Caenorhabditis elegans: one gene and its partners. The protein of the gene in region 3 interacts with the protein of the main gene of each other region in a pairwise test. Each region holds a gene or a part of one and is shown on either strand. Other genes may lie near its edges. The genes, in order: popl-4, swt-3, osm-3 and D2023.4.

Evidence for each region.
Region 1: the proteins of osm-3 (region 3) and popl-4 interact in a two-hybrid assay, tested with the Caenorhabditis elegans proteins (one large-scale study listed by BioGRID).
Region 2: the proteins of osm-3 (region 3) and swt-3 interact in a two-hybrid assay, tested with the Caenorhabditis elegans proteins (one large-scale study listed by BioGRID).
Region 4: the proteins of osm-3 (region 3) and D2023.4 interact in a two-hybrid assay, tested with the Caenorhabditis elegans proteins (one large-scale study listed by BioGRID).

Annotation. Positions count from the first base shown.
Region 1 is NC_003279.8:12,211,410-12,215,732, reverse strand, and holds popl-4 (Ribonuclease P protein subunit p29), read right to left. Parts: upstream 2,628-4,323; 5' UTR 2,604-2,627; coding exon 2,549-2,603; intron 1,794-2,548; coding exon 1,667-1,793; intron 1,616-1,666; coding exon 1,459-1,615; intron 1,157-1,458; coding exon 1,081-1,156; intron 816-1,080; coding exon 634-815; 3' UTR 535-633; downstream 1-534. Other genes in the region: C15C6.3 (YTH domain-containing protein), read right to left, coding at 3,527-3,933.
Region 2 is NC_003282.8:10,778,438-10,782,552, forward strand, and holds swt-3 (Sugar transporter SWEET1), read right to left. Parts: upstream 2,247-4,115; 5' UTR 2,171-2,246; coding exon 2,079-2,170; intron 2,024-2,078; coding exon 1,410-2,023; intron 1,251-1,409; coding exon 889-1,250; 3' UTR 548-888; downstream 1-547.
Region 3 is NC_003282.8:3,795,834-3,802,235, reverse strand, and holds osm-3 (Osmotic avoidance abnormal protein 3), read left to right. Parts: upstream 1-1,788; coding exon 1,789-1,860; intron 1,861-3,137; coding exon 3,138-3,284; intron 3,285-3,334; coding exon 3,335-3,526; intron 3,527-3,566; coding exon 3,567-3,758; intron 3,759-3,806; coding exon 3,807-4,070; intron 4,071-4,345; coding exon 4,346-4,895; intron 4,896-4,943; coding exon 4,944-5,047; intron 5,048-5,091; coding exon 5,092-5,359; intron 5,360-5,494; coding exon 5,495-5,662; intron 5,663-5,707; coding exon 5,708-5,850; downstream 5,851-6,402. Other genes in the region: algn-14 (UDP-N-acetylglucosamine transferase subunit ALG14), read left to right, coding at 1-243; K09B3.1 (ShKT domain-containing protein), read right to left, coding at 5,982-6,070, 6,113-6,247, 6,295-6,354. UniProt on the Caenorhabditis elegans protein: Kinesin motor protein which is required for the anterograde intraflagellar transport (IFT) along the middle segment of the sensory neuron cilia together with the kinesin II motor complex (composed of klp-11, klp-20 and kap-1) and on its own, is required for IFT along the distal segment.
Region 4 is NC_003283.11:11,824,527-11,827,692, forward strand, and holds D2023.4 (Thialysine N-epsilon-acetyltransferase), read right to left. Parts: upstream 1,237-3,166; 5' UTR 1,194-1,236; coding exon 1,128-1,193; intron 1,079-1,127; coding exon 991-1,078; intron 950-990; coding exon 873-949; intron 825-872; coding exon 573-824; 3' UTR 507-572; downstream 1-506. Other genes in the region: Putative thiosulfate sulfurtransferase mpst-1, read right to left, coding at 1,459-1,661, 1,708-2,309, 2,355-2,536; D2023.6 (ABC1 atypical kinase-like domain-containing protein), read left to right, coding at 2,842-2,883, 2,935-3,045, 3,098-3,166. UniProt on the Caenorhabditis elegans protein: Catalyzes the N-acetylation of the amino acid thialysine (S-(2-aminoethyl)-L-cysteine), a L-lysine analog with the 4-methylene group substituted with a sulfur. Substrate specificity: thialysine > O-(2-aminoethyl)-L-serine > S-(2-aminoethyl)-D,L-homocysteine.

The DNA of each region.
Region 1 (4,323 bases), on a different chromosome or scaffold from region 3:
TTGTTTAAAACGGTGCGGAACTCAAAATGTGTCGGCCGCTTCAAAAGGCGCCCAAACCGCGCCTGAATCCCATGGAAGCCAAACCCAAAAAATAACTAACCTTTACAAATATAGAATATATAAACCGAAATATTAGTTAAAACCACCAAAATCGTGATTGCAACGAGGAATGATCGAAAAAACTTTAAAAATCTAATTTGAACTCTACAATTTATTTACAATTTTATTGAGTTCACACGTTGAATTTCCCTTTTTTCAATTTTTAATTGCAAAAAATGTCAAAAATCGATAATTTTTCGAAAAATCGATAAATTTCCAAAGAAACACGTGGTGTCGGAATGTCCCATGTTGGTTTGATCTTCGAAAAAAGCGGGAGTTGAGACGCAGACATCTCAGCTAATTTCACTTGTTTTTTTTCTGGGAAAAAATTCCCGCACTTTTGTAGATCAAACCGACATGGGACATACTGACACCACGTGAGGAAACTGATGTTAGTCTCAAAAAATCAATAAATTCTCATGAAAATTGTCCAATATCACAGAGTTTTTCAAATTCAGAATTTTTATTATTTCCTTTTCAAAAACAGACAACAAAAAACGGAAAAAAAACAGGGAAATTTCTCAGAAATTCAAATTAATCCTTCGTGGAGACGGTAGGTACGGTCTGAAGAGTTCCTCGAATGAAAGTTGGCAGCAGACGCTTGATACGTGGCTTTTTGCCGCGCCACGCCGGTCGAGTACGCATTCCGTCGCCGAACAGTGAGAAGAGACGATCACCAAGGATGAATCGGAAGACGGAGCCCTTCTTTGGAATTACTGAAAATTTGAATTTGAATTCCCGCCGGGCCGCGGAGACCCCACGGAAAAGGGAATCTGCGGGGATGGGGTCTGTGCCAGCATTTTCTCGAAAAAAATACGTTACAACGATGCTCCGGTGTTACGCGTGTTGTTGAGCCGGGAATCGTTATAGCGTTGTTCTTCGAGAAAAACGCTGGCAGATCCCGTTTCCGCAGATTCGCCTTTCGGTGTGGCCGCGCGAAATTCGAATTCCCGCCCGAAGATCGTGGCGAGACCCACTTACCAACGAATCGATCCTCTTGTGTGACCATTTGAAATGTGTGGCGTGTCTCGAGAACGACGATTCCGCTAATTCCAATCTGGAAAAGTTCAAAAAATCGATAATTTTTTTTTTCAGCAAAAAAGTTTTTTTTTTTCAAAAAGTATATATATTTTATGAAAAAAAACATTTCTCGGAAAAATCTGATAATTTTTAGGAAAAACAGTAACAGTAAATACTCAAAAAATCGATAATTTTTTTTATCGAAAAATCAATAAATTTTCGCGAAAATCGATATTTTTTAACGCAAAATAATCGATAATTTTTTATCGGAAAATCAACAAATTTCCAAGAAAAAATCAATAAATTCCCGCGTAAACTCCTCGTGGAGTACACAATTACCTGTGTGGGATTCTCGGCAAGCCAAATTGTCAGCAGAGCTCCATGATAATCTGATTTTAGAATAGTTTTCTCGATTTTCGTACTTGAAAAGTGATTTCCGAGTCGTTCGCGGAAATATTTCTGCCAATCTGTGTTCATTGGAACGATATCAGCGAATCTGTAATTTTTTTAAGGGATTTTTTTCGAAAAAATTCGAAAATCTACGAACTTGAACGCTTTTTTGTCGTCTTCGGTGAGTCTTCCACGTGTCAAATTAGTTTTTTCCGTTTTTTTGGATTTTCTTTTGAAGTGACTGGTCACATTTTTTTCGAGATGTAAGACTCCGAGACGATCTCCTGAAAATCGAGGAATTAAAGGAAAATTATTGATTTTCTGAAAATTTGATGATTTGTCCGTATTTAAATCGATTTTTTGAAAAATATTATTGATTTTTTCGGAATTAAATCGGTTTTAAATCGGCTAAAATGTATCGATTATCAGGTGAGGTAGCGGATTTTCTGAAAAGGTATCGATTTTTTTGAATGATTGATTTTTTTTCAAAATTTTTCAGATTTTTTACGAAATTTTTGAATTATTGATTTTTTTGAAAATTTATTGACTTTTGAAAAATTATCGATTTTCACCGAAAATTTATCGACTTTTTGGGAAAATTAAATATTGATTTTATAAAATTATTGATTATTCGAATATTTTTTCTTTGATTTTTGCGAAAAATCATTCATTTCTAAACATTATTGATTATTCTGAAATTTTATCGATTTTTTTTGAAAAAAAATTATCGATTTTCGAATTCATTGATTTTTCGAAGATTTCTTTAAAATTTGGATTTTTACGGAATATTATCGATTTTTTAAAAAAGAGATTGAGAAATTTATTTATTTTATTATAGATTTTTTCAATTGAACTTAAGTTTATTGGCTTTTCGAAGGTTTTTTCCAAAAAAATTGATTTTTACGGAAAATTTATCGATTTTTTCGTAAATTTATTGATTTTTTGACGATTTTTTGATTGTTTTTCCAATTTTTTACGGAAAATTATCATTTTTAGTTCAAAATTTCAATTTATTTTTTTCTCAAAAATTGAAAATTACCTCCTCCCCGAGACGTGGATTCTCCTGGCTCTCCAATTCGTACGTCTTTGCTCATTTTTTTTTTCGATAGAATTCTGGAAAAAAACGGATATTTTAGTAAAATTGTATTTTTTTTCAAATTTCTGGGAACAATTTCAAAAATTTCATCAATTTTGATGGTTTTTTTTCGAATTTTTTTGGGAAATATCGGTGAAATGTAGATTTACGCAGCTCGTGTACTCCCCGAGGAGAAGATTTTCCTTTTTTTTCAAAATACGTGGTTTTACACTTTTTAAAATTATTTTTTGTTTCGTTTAGTGGTTTAAGTGAAAAATAGCAAATAACTGCAAGATCTTCTCCACGGGGAGTACACGAGTCTTGTAAATCGACACATGGCCGTGGAAGAGGTTTTACACGGCCAGCTCTTCCATATATTCAAATAGTAGTTTTTAAAAAGAAATAAGTCATTTTCTGAATATTAAATCGTCTCTAAACCCAAAAAATACACAAAAAATCTTTAAAAATTCCCAGATATTGTATTTATATAGACAAAAAAAAAACAGAAAAAGTTTCAAAAACTAAACCACACATAAAAATATTTCTAAACAATCACAAAAACCGACGGGGAGGGGGGGTTCGGGGTAAAATAATTGAAAAAACCCAATTAAAAAAAAATATTATAGCGATTTTGGTAGAGAGAAAAGAAGGGAAAAATTGAAAAACCGTAGCAAAAACGAGAGAGAGAAAGCGTGCTCTATTGCACTTTAGATGTGGGTGGGAGGAGATGGGGAATAAATAAATAAAATATGAAATTTAATTTATTTCTAGGGATTTTGCTTCAAAAAATTGAAAAAAAAACAAAAAATGAAAAATTCAACTGCGACCAATCAGCGATTCGCTCCGCCCACTTTTGGACCAATCAGCGAAATTGCTCGGTTTTTTTCAGCTTTTTAGACTATTTTTCAACTTTTTGAATTAAAAATCCCAAGAAATTAGTGCTCATTGAGCAGTCGCCGTGGCCGAGCTCTCCGATGAATTTCCCTCGAGCAACGGGGAGGATTTTTGAATTTCCAGCATTTTATTGATTGATTTCAGCCGCATTTTCAACTGTTTCTTCGTTTCCCGAATCGAAATCGACGGTGGTGGTGGTGGAAATTCCTCCGGCTCATTTTCTGGTGGCGGTGGAGGTGGTGGTGGTGGAGCAGCTTCTTCGGATTCCAGAAGCTCATCGACTTGCTGAGCTGGCTCCGGTGATGCGGAGCGCGATGAAGCTGGATTTGGGCTCACTGGAGCTGCAGCTTTTTGAGCAATTGGCTCCGCTGGCTCATCCTCATCGGAGCTGATTTTCTCTTGCTCCGTTGGAAGTTTTTGGCGGTAGCGAGATGGAAGTTTGGAGCTGGAGGAATCTGGAAAAAAATTAATTTTTGAATAATTTTGGCGATTTTTTCTGATTTTTTCAAAGAAAATCACTATTTTTTCGTTTTTTTTTTATATTTTTTGACGTTTTTTCGAAAAAAAATTTTTTTTGGAAAAAATTAAATGTTCTAATTTTTCTGATATATTTATGCGATTTTTTTTTTGATTTTTTGGAATTTTTTTGGGAAATTTTCCAATGAATTTCTGCAATTTTTCTTCAAATTTTCAATTTTTGCCGAGAAAAATGTTCGAAAAATCTTCGTGTTGGTTTTTAATAGAAAATCAATAGAAAAATCTAATTTTTGTATTGAAAAAGCCAAAATTTGCGAAATCTTCTCCTCGAGGAGTACACGAGAGCCACGTAAATCGACACATGGCAA
Region 2 (4,115 bases), 7.0 Mb from region 3:
GAGTGGAACTTTGGATTCCGGTCACAATTAACTCTTGAAATAAATAGGTATATGATATTCGCAATTTACTTTTTGTTCATCTTGATTGAATTTGCAACTTGACGCTATTTTTCTTTACAATGAAATATTATTCTGTACCTACGAGGATCTTTTATCGGATTTAAAATTGAAGACAATCTGACATTAAAAAAGCAGGAATGCTTTACAGAGCGGAATTTAGTCTGAAACCAACATGGTTTAATTACTCTCGAAAATTAGATAGTATTAAAAATGCCATATCTTGAATTTCATTGAAGTTTTCTTTTTAAAATCGGTGTTCGTTGGAGAATCCGATTTGTATGCATTATATTTTTCATTGTATTATATTTTAAGTTGTCCCACTAAAATCTATGTAATTTTTGGATTTTCAGAACCACTAAATCTCAAATTAATTGTTGTTTAGATTAATTTTTTGGTAAACTCGTCAGATGCCAACTTTATCTCTTAAACCCCCTAATTTCAGCTGCGGAGCTGGGTTGTCCAGCTCAAATCGATTTAAAACAAAGATCAAGCTTTAAAACTTTATGAGAAATTCAAAAAAGAAGGCACCCGTCATTCGGTAAATTATGCCATTCAAAAAGTGAATGGGAGAGTCATAGAAGCAAAAAGTCAATTGCACACAATTACAGTGTCAAGTCACCTCAAGTAGAGGCGGGTCATCATGAAAAAAACATCAAAAAAATGTAATAAAAATGGGTTAAAAACATGAAAAAGAAGGGTATCTTTGCAACATGGGGGACTGAATTGAATTATTATAGAACAGTTTGTTCTAGTCTTGTTGAGATTGAGATTCGAGAAAAAAGCTCTTAGCTTGAGATGAACGTGGTGATGAAGATCAAAATATGAAAGTTACTCGGAAAGATCCGGTGAGCTGATGGTTCTTCGGAGAGCATTTTCTCGAGCATCCTGTGCTGCTCGCAATGCGTTTCTCATTTTCCTTTCTCTGTCAGCATCCTTCAATTTATCTACAGCTGTAACTGGAGCCTTCTTAGTTTCATCAACTGTTTCCACAGTCTTCTCACTGGATGAATCCTCATCTCCGATCTTATGAGTATAAGCGAATTGATCCTTTGTTGGCAATTGGTAGATGACATTTTCAAGCTCTTCAGCAACAGTGGAAACATTCATCTTGATCTTTTGGGACCATCTCTGAGCTCTGTTCATCTTCTTGTCATCCTTCTCATCACATTCTCCGAGCTCGGCAACAATTTCTGAAAGAAAAAATGATTATGTTTTCTGCTATCAATTTTTTGCTATCAGTAAGAAAAAGATGCTTCCTGGTTATAAATTGATCAAAAAACAAGATTACTTGTTTTTTTTTCTACAGACTAGGTGCTTATCAATTTCTGATAGATTTTCGGTCAATGTACCTTTGGTCTCTTCCACTCGGACTCCACGGATCCACAACCAAAGTCTGACGATTGGGGCACGTTGTCCTGGTTTTCTTGGAAGAACGATGAACAAGAGAAGTTGGATGAAAGCAAGAAGAGATCCAACTCCATTTGGGAAAATAAGGTAGAAATCGTTCTTGAGGAGACCGTACAGGAACCATTCAGTTGACACAAGGAAATTGGCAATGCACAATGGAAGTGGAAGAGTTGAAGTTGCCCAACGACGGATTACGACTCGGATTCCACCAAGAGGAGCTGCGAAATCAGCAATGTTCAGGGTGAGGCAAACGATTCCAAGTGGATGGAAGATCTTCATTCCGAAGAAGTGAACAGCGAGCACCAAACTCGTGCAGATTCCAATAACTCCGAGAACTTTCAAAGAAATGTAGAGCTTCTTCTTGGTCATGCACCAATAGAAGATGGTGTATGTTGTGTACAGAATCACTTGACATCCGGTAACCCATTTCACAGTTCCATCATTTTTTAACCATCCATAAGTCATCCAGCAGCATCCTCCAACAACTCCCATTAGGAATGGAGCTCCAGAGATTTCTTTTGTGTCTTTTCTCTTCCAGATTTGTCGACATATTGGACTGAAATACTTGGAATAAATATAAATAATTTTAACTTGAATAAAAATCCACTTACATTCCACAGAAGAAAAGACCGACTGTAGTAAAAAATGCAAGAATAGAAAGAAGATTGAGAAGGGAAAAGCCTTGAGTGAAAATCTCGAACATTATGTTCAGAGAGTCGATTGTGCTAGATGGCACTTGTAGGTTTGTGGTTATACAAAAAAATGGCAGATAGTCTGTTGATTCTGTCCTTCCCTTCAGTCACTTTTGTATCAACCGTCTTCGCCCCGCCCTCCACCAAGACCTTCGGCGGAGAAGAAGGAGGGGCTATACACACTGTTCCGGGGGGCTAAGGGAAGTGACGCCAATTTCAGTACGGACTAAGATCTCTGAGCTGTTTGTGAGGCATTAGTCATACGGATCAAATGGAGCCAATTCCAGAGAGATCATTGAGAAAAGGGCGTTGACCAGTGAAGTGTACTGGTCATTTTTAATAGTTTAATAGTTCACGAGCCGACACATATTGGACAGTTATTTTTTACAATGATTATTAATTATTTTTGATTTATTCTTTGGGATTTGTAACATATTATTAGTAAGAAAAAGATTTTCAATTATTTTTTATGTTTTTCAAAAAATCTTAAAAATCTTTCAGACCCCTAAGCCCCGATTCTTGTCAGTTTTGGAGGCCTAAAGCAAAACAAAAAAATAGGAGAGAAGCCTTTAGGAAACCTATTTAAGTCCTCAAAAACTAAAAAACTATTAGAAAACTCATTGTTGAGCTCAATTCCACATTGGTTCAAGTGTGTTATTTATTTAGAAAACAATCCCCATAGCTCAACTTTTTGGAATCTACAGTAACCTGTTAAGTCCTTTGTTTCCTAGAACCCTAGACAATTGACTCCTTCTCTCTGGCGCCACCATCTGTGTTAACTATTACAAGACTTTTTACACTTCAGACGCACATATAATCAATAGTAGTATACACACACGAAATCTGTATACACGAATCTGTTCTCATTATTTAGGAAACCATGTGAACCACTAACAAGAGAGGCAGAATGATCGGATGAATAAGAAAGCAATGAAATTGATATCACTTGTTATCAAAAACGATGGTTCGCGCTGGCGCGATCCCCATATCTTCGCCATGATTTATAACCGCCGGCACGACACGACTATGTATGCGAGTAGCAGTTACTACTTTAAAGGGGACTGACAGTTTAATTCAAACATTGCTTCATGAAATGAATTTTATTGAATTCAAAGTCTAGTTGAATTTCTTGGGTCTTGGTTTGCAATTTTTAAATATGAACAAGTTTCCAATACTTCCAGAATATATATTTCATGATGTTTCATCCAAAATTTGAAAGAACCACAATCCTCTTTTGGAGCCACTTGCATCAAATATGAAGAATACATTTTGTTCAGGTCATTTCTTGAGCTTGGAGCCTGAAACATTTGGTACATAACCCTACAAGGGCACACTATTTATTTGCCAGTGCTCGTTGCTCTTTCCTGTTCAGTGATAAGGATTACGTCAATGCGTGTGTTGTCTGCTGCCCCATAAGTACCCTAATTTACCCAACCAGCTCTGGATTGCTTCTATATTATTACAACTTGAAAAATGTGAGAAAACGATGAAATGGACGAATCCTGCGCGCGAGACGTCATCTAAAATATCTGTGTGAGAGAGACTGCACGTGTACCGGCCATGTGAAGATGAAAGTACTTATCACATGGAAATGCGGGGGAAATTGAAAGATTTATGACACTTTCCTAATAGAGAAGATATTGGATTGGTTAGAGTACGGTCTATCTAGATGGTTCATCGTGTACCGGCGGGTCAAATCTAAAACTGATCGGCCAATGAGGAACTTAACGAACTGTGGGTGTTTAATAGTTAAGGGAGAAATGGATTTCCGTCACTTACTTTAGTATTTTGATTCATAAACAAAAGTATATGTATTCCCGAAGCCTTACACGTAGGAACAAGGTGACCTACGTTTGTGGCGTGCCTACTGCCAGCTTTTCATGATTAGTATTTTTGTGTAATGACTTTCCGAACAATGAGAAATGTATAAATGTGATGATTGCAGTTTTCGCAAAA
Region 3 (6,402 bases):
GTCGCCTTGGCGGCCGCCTTCTTCGACATAATTCGCCTAATCGATACAGTTATTATCTACGAAGAATCGATTTGCCGAGTGAAAAAGCTCTCCTTATCCGGTGCAATTTTGTATTATCTCGGAATGGTCGACTGCCTGATTGTGCATTGGCCGGGGCTCAAGAAATCGTATCCAAGAGCCACGTATATTCAGGATTTGGAGCACAAATTCACGTTGGATGGCTCGGAGAAAAAATCTCAATAAAAATATTAATTTATGTGTCAATTTTAGGGGGGATTTTGTTTTTAAATGTCGGAAAAATTTTGAAATTTTGAAAAAAAAACTATATTTTCCAAAATTTTTAGTGTTTTGAAGAAAACTTTTCAATTTTCTAGAGAAAAAACCTTTTAATTAAAAAAACACAGAAAGATGGAAATTTGGAAAAAATGATTTTTGTGATTTTTGCAAATTTTGGAAAATTCGTTTTTTTTTCAAAACAAAATGAATTTCACCTTTTTAAAAATTCAGCAAAAGTTAGATTTTTTTTTAATTAATTTTTTTGCAGATTAAATTTTACAATTTTTTATCGATTTTTTTTCAGATTTTTTTCCAAAAATTCACGTTTTTTTACGGATTTCCTCTAAAAAATCATTGAAAATCGAGGTTTGCTTCAAAATTCGGTAAAAAATCGAAAATGTTTTTTAAAAAATCTGAAAATGATTTTTTAGTGGAAAATCTGAAAAAATTTCAAGAAATTTGAATTTTTCAAAAAAATTCGTAAAACTACCGTATATTCTCTATTAGTGCGGCACCCCCATCGCTCACCTTTGACGTCATATGTCTTGATTGATTTTGAAGATATTAAGACCTTTTAAAACATTAAGCATAGAAGGAGTTTTAACAAACATTTCCGTAGTTAAAGACTTTTTACCAAAATCAAAGGTGACCGAGATATGAGCTGTCAAAGTTGAGTGGTGGGGTGCCGCACTAATAGAGAATATACGGTACTTTTTTTTCGAAAAAGAAGTAATAAAAATGTCATTAAAAATTTGGATTTTTCTAAATCGGAAAATTCGTTAATTTTGGCTGAAAATCTAGATTTTTTGAAATTTTCACGAAAAAAGCTTAAAATCCGGCTAAAATTCAATTTTCTTAAAAATTTTTTGTAAAAAATTAAATTTGCCTGAAAATCCGAAATTTCTGGTCAATTTTTTCTACACAAAAAAACCCAAAAACTTCGATTTTCCCGATATTTTTAACCAAAACTTTAACCGATTCTTGTATGTATTTTCTAGCTTTACTTGTCTCTATTGTGCTTTATACGCCCATTTCTTGTACATTCCCGCCATTTCAATATTTCCAAAACTAATTTCCGTTTGAATTTATATGACTTTCAAATTCCAGTCATTTTTCAGCCAAAAACCAATCAGCAATGCGGAAATATCAAAATCGACGGCAGCTTTTATTGAAACAATCGTATATAATTCAATTCCCTCAACCCTAGCGGCAGCGTGGCTCGAAAGAAAAAGAAGAAGCATAACAATATCTGGTTGCTAGGCGCCACCTCCCTCCACTCATTCCTTTGCTCTCGGAGCAGCAGTGGTGTATATGCTCGTTGCTCCGCGCGACACCAAACTCTTTTCGTTTTATTTTTTACTACGTCGTTTTTTTTTTGAAATTTTTTTTTCCGAAAATTTTCAACCTTTGAGCTCTTCACATGTTTTATTACGTCGATTTATGTGAAAAAAAAAATTTTTTTCGGAATTTTTTTTCGGAACATTTTTCAATATTTAAGCTCCCACCAACTGTATGGCAGAGAGCGTCCGGGTCGCCGTAAGATGTCGTCCGTTCAATCAGAGAGAAAAGGACCTGAATACGACGGTTGGTTTTTTGATTGGATTTTCAGAAAAACCAGCTGAAAATCAAACAATTTAGGCCTAAATCGAATATTTAAAGCGCAAAAAAATTAAAATTTCCCAGAAAAACCCGAAAAAATTGAGAAAATGTGGAATTTTCGGCGAAGTTCTTCTTTTTAATTAGCCAAAATCATTCGAAATTGGGAAAATTCTAAATTTTGAGTATATTATTACTTTTCAGTGTTTTCCTATTACAGTGCCAGGTCTTGAAACGACATTTTTTGTAAAATACAAACGGGCGTGCGCCTTTAAAGAATACTGTAATTTTGAACTCTCGTTTTTTTTTGGAATTTTCAAAAAAATACATTTATTTATTGAAAAACTGCTACATAAATTTCACAAATTCGATAAAAATTCACAAAGTCGATAAAAATTACACTACTCTTTAAAGGCGCACAGTTTACAAAAAAAATGAATTTTTGCTCAATTTTCTGTATTTTTCGATCATTTTTTTGTTCGATTTTCCTGATTTTTAATAGAAATTGTGTACTTTGTCGGCAAAATTAACCTAAAATCTAGAAAAAATTGATAATAACCTTTCGATGTCAGAATTTAAATTTTACAGGCCGAGGGTCTCACAGCGATTGAGAGCTAGTTATTGTAGTTTTGAGGCTTTTTTCCTGCTGTTTTAAAAGAGTTAGCTGGAGCTAGGAAAAGTTCGAATGATATCTTTAATAAATTTGAACGTCATAAACAATGTTTTCTTTGAAGAAGCCGTACATAATTGCTGACTAAAAAGTAAAAAGGTATTCGGAAAACTTGTGAAAAAGCGCATGTTTCCCCCTCCCCACATCACCTGCTTCACTGGACACATGTGAATGAAAAAACGTAATAAAACTTGAATATTTATTTTTGGTTTAAACATGGTGGCCGAGTTTTCCTATTTTTCGGCCATGAAAAAAGATGTCACGTAGTTCCGTTTACTTCCTTATTATTGTCTACTATACGATTTACCCCCGTAATTTCCGGGAAAACATGTTTTAATGTTTTTGGGTTACTGTTTCCCTCTAGACTATAATATCCGATACATGCTTAGGTAATATCCGTTTATTTTTATTACGAAAATAGGCAAATATTCACTTCGTAGGCGTGAGAACTCTGGTGCGAAACCGTGGGAATTGTAGGAAACTCTACAAAGTTTTCTGGGGGACTAGGGGTCTTCTTCTAGGGCACTAGAGACTGAAAAGCGCTAGAAATTGACAATTTTCTTCTAGGAACCCTAAAATGTTTCAAAATTTCCAGCTATGCGTCGGAATGACTCCGAACGTTGGACAGGTCAACCTGAACGCGCCGGACGGGGCGGCCAAGGACTTCACGTTCGATGGAGCCTACTTTATGGATTCGACCGGCGAGCAGATTTACAATGATATTGTCTTTCCGCTAGTTGAGGTGAGAAAATTTGAAGATTTCTCCTACCAAAGCTTCTAAAAACCGTACAGAACGTGATAGAAGGCTACAATGGCACTGTGTTTGCCTATGGCCAAACTGGATCGGGCAAGACTTTCTCCATGCAGGGCATCGAAACAATTCCAGCTCAACGGGGTGTGATTCCACGGGCTTTTGATCACATATTCACCGCCACGGCTACGACGGAAAATGTGAAATTCCTGGTGCACTGCAGCTATTTAGAGGTTTCAGATTTTTGATCCCTTCCCTTAAATTTTGCTTTAGATTTACAACGAAGAGGTTAGAGACTTGCTGGGCGCCGACAATAAACAAAAACTGGAGATCAAAGAGCAACCGGATCGGGGTGTCTATGTGGCGGGCCTCTCCATGCATGTTTGTCATGATGTCCCGGCTTGCAAGGAGCTGATGACTCGGGGCTTCAACAATCGGCACGTCGGCGCCACGTTGATGAACAAGGTGGCCCTTGACCTGACTCTTTGACCTGACCTCAATTTCTATGTTCAGGACTCTTCCCGAAGTCACTCAATCTTCACGGTATACGTGGAAGGCATGACAGAAACCGGATCGATCAGGATGGGAAAGTTGAATCTGGTCGATTTGGCTGGAAGTGAGCGGCAGAGCAAGACAGGAGCCACCGGTGACCGTTTGAAGGAGGCCACGAAGATTAACCTATCGCTGTCGGCGTTGGGTAATGTGATATCGGCGTTGGTGGACGGAAAGTCGAAGCATATACCCTACAGGGACAGTAAGCTGACTAGGTTGTTACAGGTAAGGACGATTCATTTTTGAGATGATGAGGTGGTTGTTGGGCCGGGCCATTTGAGCCTAGGTCCTGAAGTCTAGCGCGGTAGGAAATGTATGCTAATATGATAAGTGACGGTAGGGATCCAGACCATAGTCATAAGGTATTTGTGGACCACAATTAATGGAAGTGCTAGCCTAGGCTGTAGGTGACGTAGGGAGAAGGCCTAAGCTAGAACCCAACGATCCAAGCCACTGTCGATCCTGCGACCTAGGACGCTTATCCAACTCAAATTTTCCAGGATTCTCTTGGTGGTAACACAAAGACCATTATGATCGCCTGCGTGTCCCCATCCAGTGACAACTACGACGAGACTCTCTCCACACTTCGATATGCCAACCGTGCCAAGAACATCAAGAACAAGCCGACGATCAACGAGGATCCAAAGGATGCTCTTCTTCGAGAGTACCAGGAGGAAATCGCTCGGCTCAAGTCTATGGTTCAACCGGGGGCCGTTGGAGTTGGCGCTCCTGCGCAGGACGCTTTCTCGATAGAAGAGGAGAGGAAGAAGCTACGGGAAGAATTCGAGGAGGCGATGAACGACTTGCGTGGCGAGTATGAGCGGGAGCAGACGAGTAAAGCGGAGCTACAGAAGGACCTGGAGTCCTTGAGAGCAGACTATGAAAGGGCTAATGCGAATTTAGACAACTTGAATCCGGAAGAAGCGGCGAAGAAGATCCAACAGCTCCAAGATCAGTTTATTGGAGGAGAAGAAGCAGGCAATACTCAGCTGAAGCAAAAACGGATGAAGCAGCTGAAGGAGGCAGAGACTAAAACGCAGAAGTTGGCAGGTAAGAACTTCTAGAACTTCAGCAAGTCTTGCACGCAGTAAGTTTCAGCCGCGTTAAACGTTCATAAGGATGATCCTCTGCTTCAAGTCTACAGTACTACTCAAGAAAAACTTGACGCAGTTACTTCTCAACTGGAGAAGGAAGTCAAGAAAGTAAGTCCCTCCAGTTTTACAAAGTGAATAGTGGAATGTTTCAGTCCAAAGGTTACGAGCGAGAAATCGAGGATCTCCACGGCGAATTCGAACTGGATCGTCTCGATTATCTAGACACAATTCGGAAGCAGGACCAGCAGTTGAAGCTCCTTATGCAGATTATGGACAAAATCCAGCCGATCATCAAGAAAGATACGAATTATAGTAACGTGGATCGGATAAAGAAGGAGGCGGTGTGGAATGAAGACGAGAGTCGATGGATTTTGCCGGAAATGTCGATGAGTCGGACTATTCTGCCGTTGGCTAATAATGGTAGGTCTGGATTTGATTAGATTGCAGGCCTCACTGCTAAGCCTGAGCTTTTCCAAGAAACATGTAAGGCGGGATTGCCAAAAAGCGGCCGATTATTCTAGCAATTTGGGATTGCTTTATTCTTCCATCTTTCAGGTTATATGCAAGAACCTGCTCGGCAAGAGAACACCTTATTACGGTCTAACTTTGACGACAAACTACGCGAGCGGCTAGCGAAAAGTGACTCGGAAAACCTGGCAAACAGCTACTTCAAGCCAGTGAAGCAGATCAATGTGATCAACAAGTACAAGAGTGATCAAAAATGTGAGTTAGACCCCTTAGACCTTGCAAAAAGTCAAAAAGTTTCAGTATCAACTTCCAAATCGCTATTTCCATCCAAGACCCCAACATTCGATGGTCTTGTCAACGGAGTCGTCTACACTGATGCTCTCTACGAGCGGGCTCAATCTGCAAAACGACCACCTCGACTAGCCTCTCTGAATCCCAAATAATTCGTGTGTACATTGTGATGTTTAGAAATTTGCTGAATAGTTTGCACGGGTGATATCGAGAATAAAATTAATGAATGTGAGATCTTTATCAATTTTATACAGGTAGCATAAATAGATTCTAATCCAGTTGATCACCGGCTCGGCAACTGCTCACTTTTCGCTTTCGTCAGTATACCAATGCTCTTGGAACTACTCGATGGAGTTGGTTGTCGGAGGATCCCTGAAGAAAATTTTAAGGTTGCAAGTGCGCTCTAAGCCTCACCAGTTTCGTAAATCGATCTCCCGATGAATTGAGCAAGGGGGTCTAACAAACCGGCTTGGGGGTATCCCATCCCTCCGTACCCTCCAAATGGGTTGTAGGACCCCATGGACCCGAGAGCTCCAACACCTGTGCTGCCTGAAACAAAACTCTAATAGTAGCGCACGCCCTGAACGACTACTTACAAGTTCCACAGGACATTGCACACGTCTGCCGCATCATCATTGGATTTGTAGAGCATTGGCCTGAAAAAAACTACAAAATTTCTGCTAGAACTTTATGCTTCGGTCTAC
Region 4 (3,166 bases), on a different chromosome or scaffold from region 3:
TAAATAATTTAAATTTTCAGAAGATTCCATAAAAGGATATTATGATAATTTTCTGGATATGGCAACTTGTTTAAATTTATAATAGATAACTCTAACATAGGTGGCATAGATTTTCTTAAAATTTGGGTACTGTTCCTCTCGCTTATCAATTAAACCCAGAAAGTTCTGAGTGTCAAAATGAGAAGAAACAAATATAGATCGTGCTGAAACTTTGCTATGAAGGATCAAAAAACCAGAAGTAATCAGTGTGGTAAAACAATTTTGAACTGGTAATCCGATCAAAATCGATAAGATCAAAAGCACAGAAATCTCTAGTACGCGATAGGAAGTGTCATACAGAAAAGGAGAAAAGGTCAATCTGTAAATTGCCAAAAAATGTGGGCGACTCACACAATTTTAATTTTAGGGAAATTAGAAGATAATATCGATAATATTGGGAGGTTGAAATAATTCACACGGGTTGAGAATATCCGGTAAAAATAAAAATTTAAAAATTCAAAAAATCTATAATAAATAACTTTATTTAAATTGCAGAACATTTCAAAAGTTCTATACCAATAAAAGTAACATATCTATTCATCAGCAAATTTATTTATCGCCGCACCGTCCATTCGAAAAGTGAACCATCCTTCGCTCTTTGTCAAATTTACATAATCAACAGTGTCGTACAGAGCAATCGCATTTTTGTTCCAATCGAGAACTGCCCATTCGAGACGAACAATTCCTTTGTCTCGAGCCAACTCAGCCAGCTTCTTCCACAGAGTTCTTGCTAGTCCCATTCGTCGGAACTGAGGTCGAATGTAGAGATCTTCCATGTGAAGATACTGAAATGATGATTTTTTGGTTGAATTTCAGTACTGTTTCATAAATACCTGCCCAACCCATGTTGAATATGCATAGTAAAAAAGGTTCATTCCAGCTGGCTCCTCTCCGATAAATGCAATGAATCCTAAATTTCGATTTATGATCAATTAAAAATCAAAATCGTACCATGCACTGCCTTGTTTTCAATATCTTTTCTCAATTTCTCGGCAGTATTCACCACGCTGCTCTTCATTTTTTCAAACTCCGCGAGCTCCTGCAAATGTTTATTTTCTTTTCAAATAAAGAAGAAGAAATAAACCTACATGAATCATTGAAATGAGTTGTTCGGCATGATCCGGGGTAACGGTGACAATTTCGAAGTTTTTCATACTTTAACGATAAAAGTGAAGAACAATTTTCAAAAGTTATGAACTGAAATTCTTATCACACAATGAAGATGAAAAATCATTTTTCGATATCAGTGGTTTCTGATGTTCGAGATTTTTCAACTAAATAGTCTGAATGGTAGTCAAGTAACCATTTAAAAGGAAAAATGAATAAAATTATTCCAAAATTTTATGAAGTAAGAAACAAAATAACAACAATATCTATCTATGAAAATTGAATAAAAGAAAAATCCTACAAAACTAAACATTAATGAGGCAAATGCTGTGGTCCCTCCGAAATTTTCTTCGGTGCTCGAAGCTCCATCTCTTTTAAGGATCCATTATATACGCGGGGAGGATTCTGTGATGGCTTCACAGCATCGATTACGTACGCCAAAAGTGCTGCTTGAATTCCAGCATTACAGGATGTGATTGTCGGTTGATTTTCAACATATCCGTTTTGAGTGAGCCCTAAATTAGAAAAGTTGAGATTATCGGAAAACTCATTATCTTTTACATGACTTGATTTCTTCTTCACTTTTCAAATTTCCGCCTTTCACAAGAAGCTCTGCACTAGGTAGATTTTTGAAACCAGCGATTCTAGTGCCGTTTACAAGATGTGGATCAAGACCGGTCTCTTGAGTTCCATCGAATTGACCACGAATTCTGCTGTCCAGAAAGTTAATTTCTGATGTTTTTTCGATAAACTGTTTATCTTCGCCGTCTTTTTTAGCTTCGAGTTCTTGGAATGTGATGACATATTTTTTGAAATTATCTTCAGCTTTAAAGTTTCCTGCAGGCAATTTTACGAGTTCTGTAGATACTTCAAATCCATTTCTTTTCCATGAATCAAATCCTCCATCGACAAGAGAAATGTTTTCATGGCCATAGGATTTGAAAATCCAAGCAACCTTTGAAGCAAAAAGCATTCCACCAAATGCTCCTTTTCCGTAAAAGATGAAATGTTCTTTATTGTTCAATCCAACCATTTGAGCATATTCTTCGAAAAGATCCGCGCGGTATTGTTGGAATCTTTGATAACGAGATGGATATGTGGCAATGTCCAGGTCCACATGCACAGCTTCCGGAATGTGTCCAGCCAGGTACAAGTTCCGGGACCTTCAAATTTTGTTTTTTTTTAAATTAAAATTTGAATAAACATACGGGCTGGGCTCAGCCATGAGATTCTTGAAATCGCCATAACCCTCTTGTTCGAATTCTTTCCAATCTGGACGCGGCGCCACAGCAAATGAGCAATCAATGATCCGCACTCCTTCTTTATTGATAATTCCTTTTTTCAGAAGAGTGTTAACTGATTTTACATCGATTATTTTTTTGAGACTCATAATTACTGTAATTGTTAATAATTTTTAAAATATTTTACGAAAAGACACTGAACATAAACCGTTTAAAGAGATTTATATTTTTACTGAGAAAAAAATTACTTAAAAATGAAAAAAAGGCAAAGAAGAACATTCTGAAAACAGCAAGAACTTTGATTTCAAAACTGTTTTGCAAAATAAAAACTGTTTTCAAAAATGTCTCTGACCTCCAGAATACACATACTCTCTCTGCAATCAATGGAGCGCACTTGCGTCGATATTTTTTGAGATGAATTTCCATCATTTTCAGTTATTTTCAGCCCGGTGTCATGATTATTAGAAAAATACTGGCGTTTAAGCCACTCACAAAAGTAAGTTGTTTAAGTTTTCAAAGCATCGTATTAATTAAAAACGTTTTCAAGGTCTTATTTGTGGGAACTGGAGCTGGAGCAGGCTATACAGCGTACACGGTAGATTCCGTTGAAGACTTAAGACAATTAGGACTGCTGAGATTTGGGAGAGCTGCTTCAACCGTAAGTTGTTTAAACTAAACTGTTTACAAAAAATTTCGATCTGAATTTTCAGGTAGGGAAAATTGTAATTGACTACAAAACTTCATTGCGTGGACTTCCAGAGCCATCTTCTGAATACGAT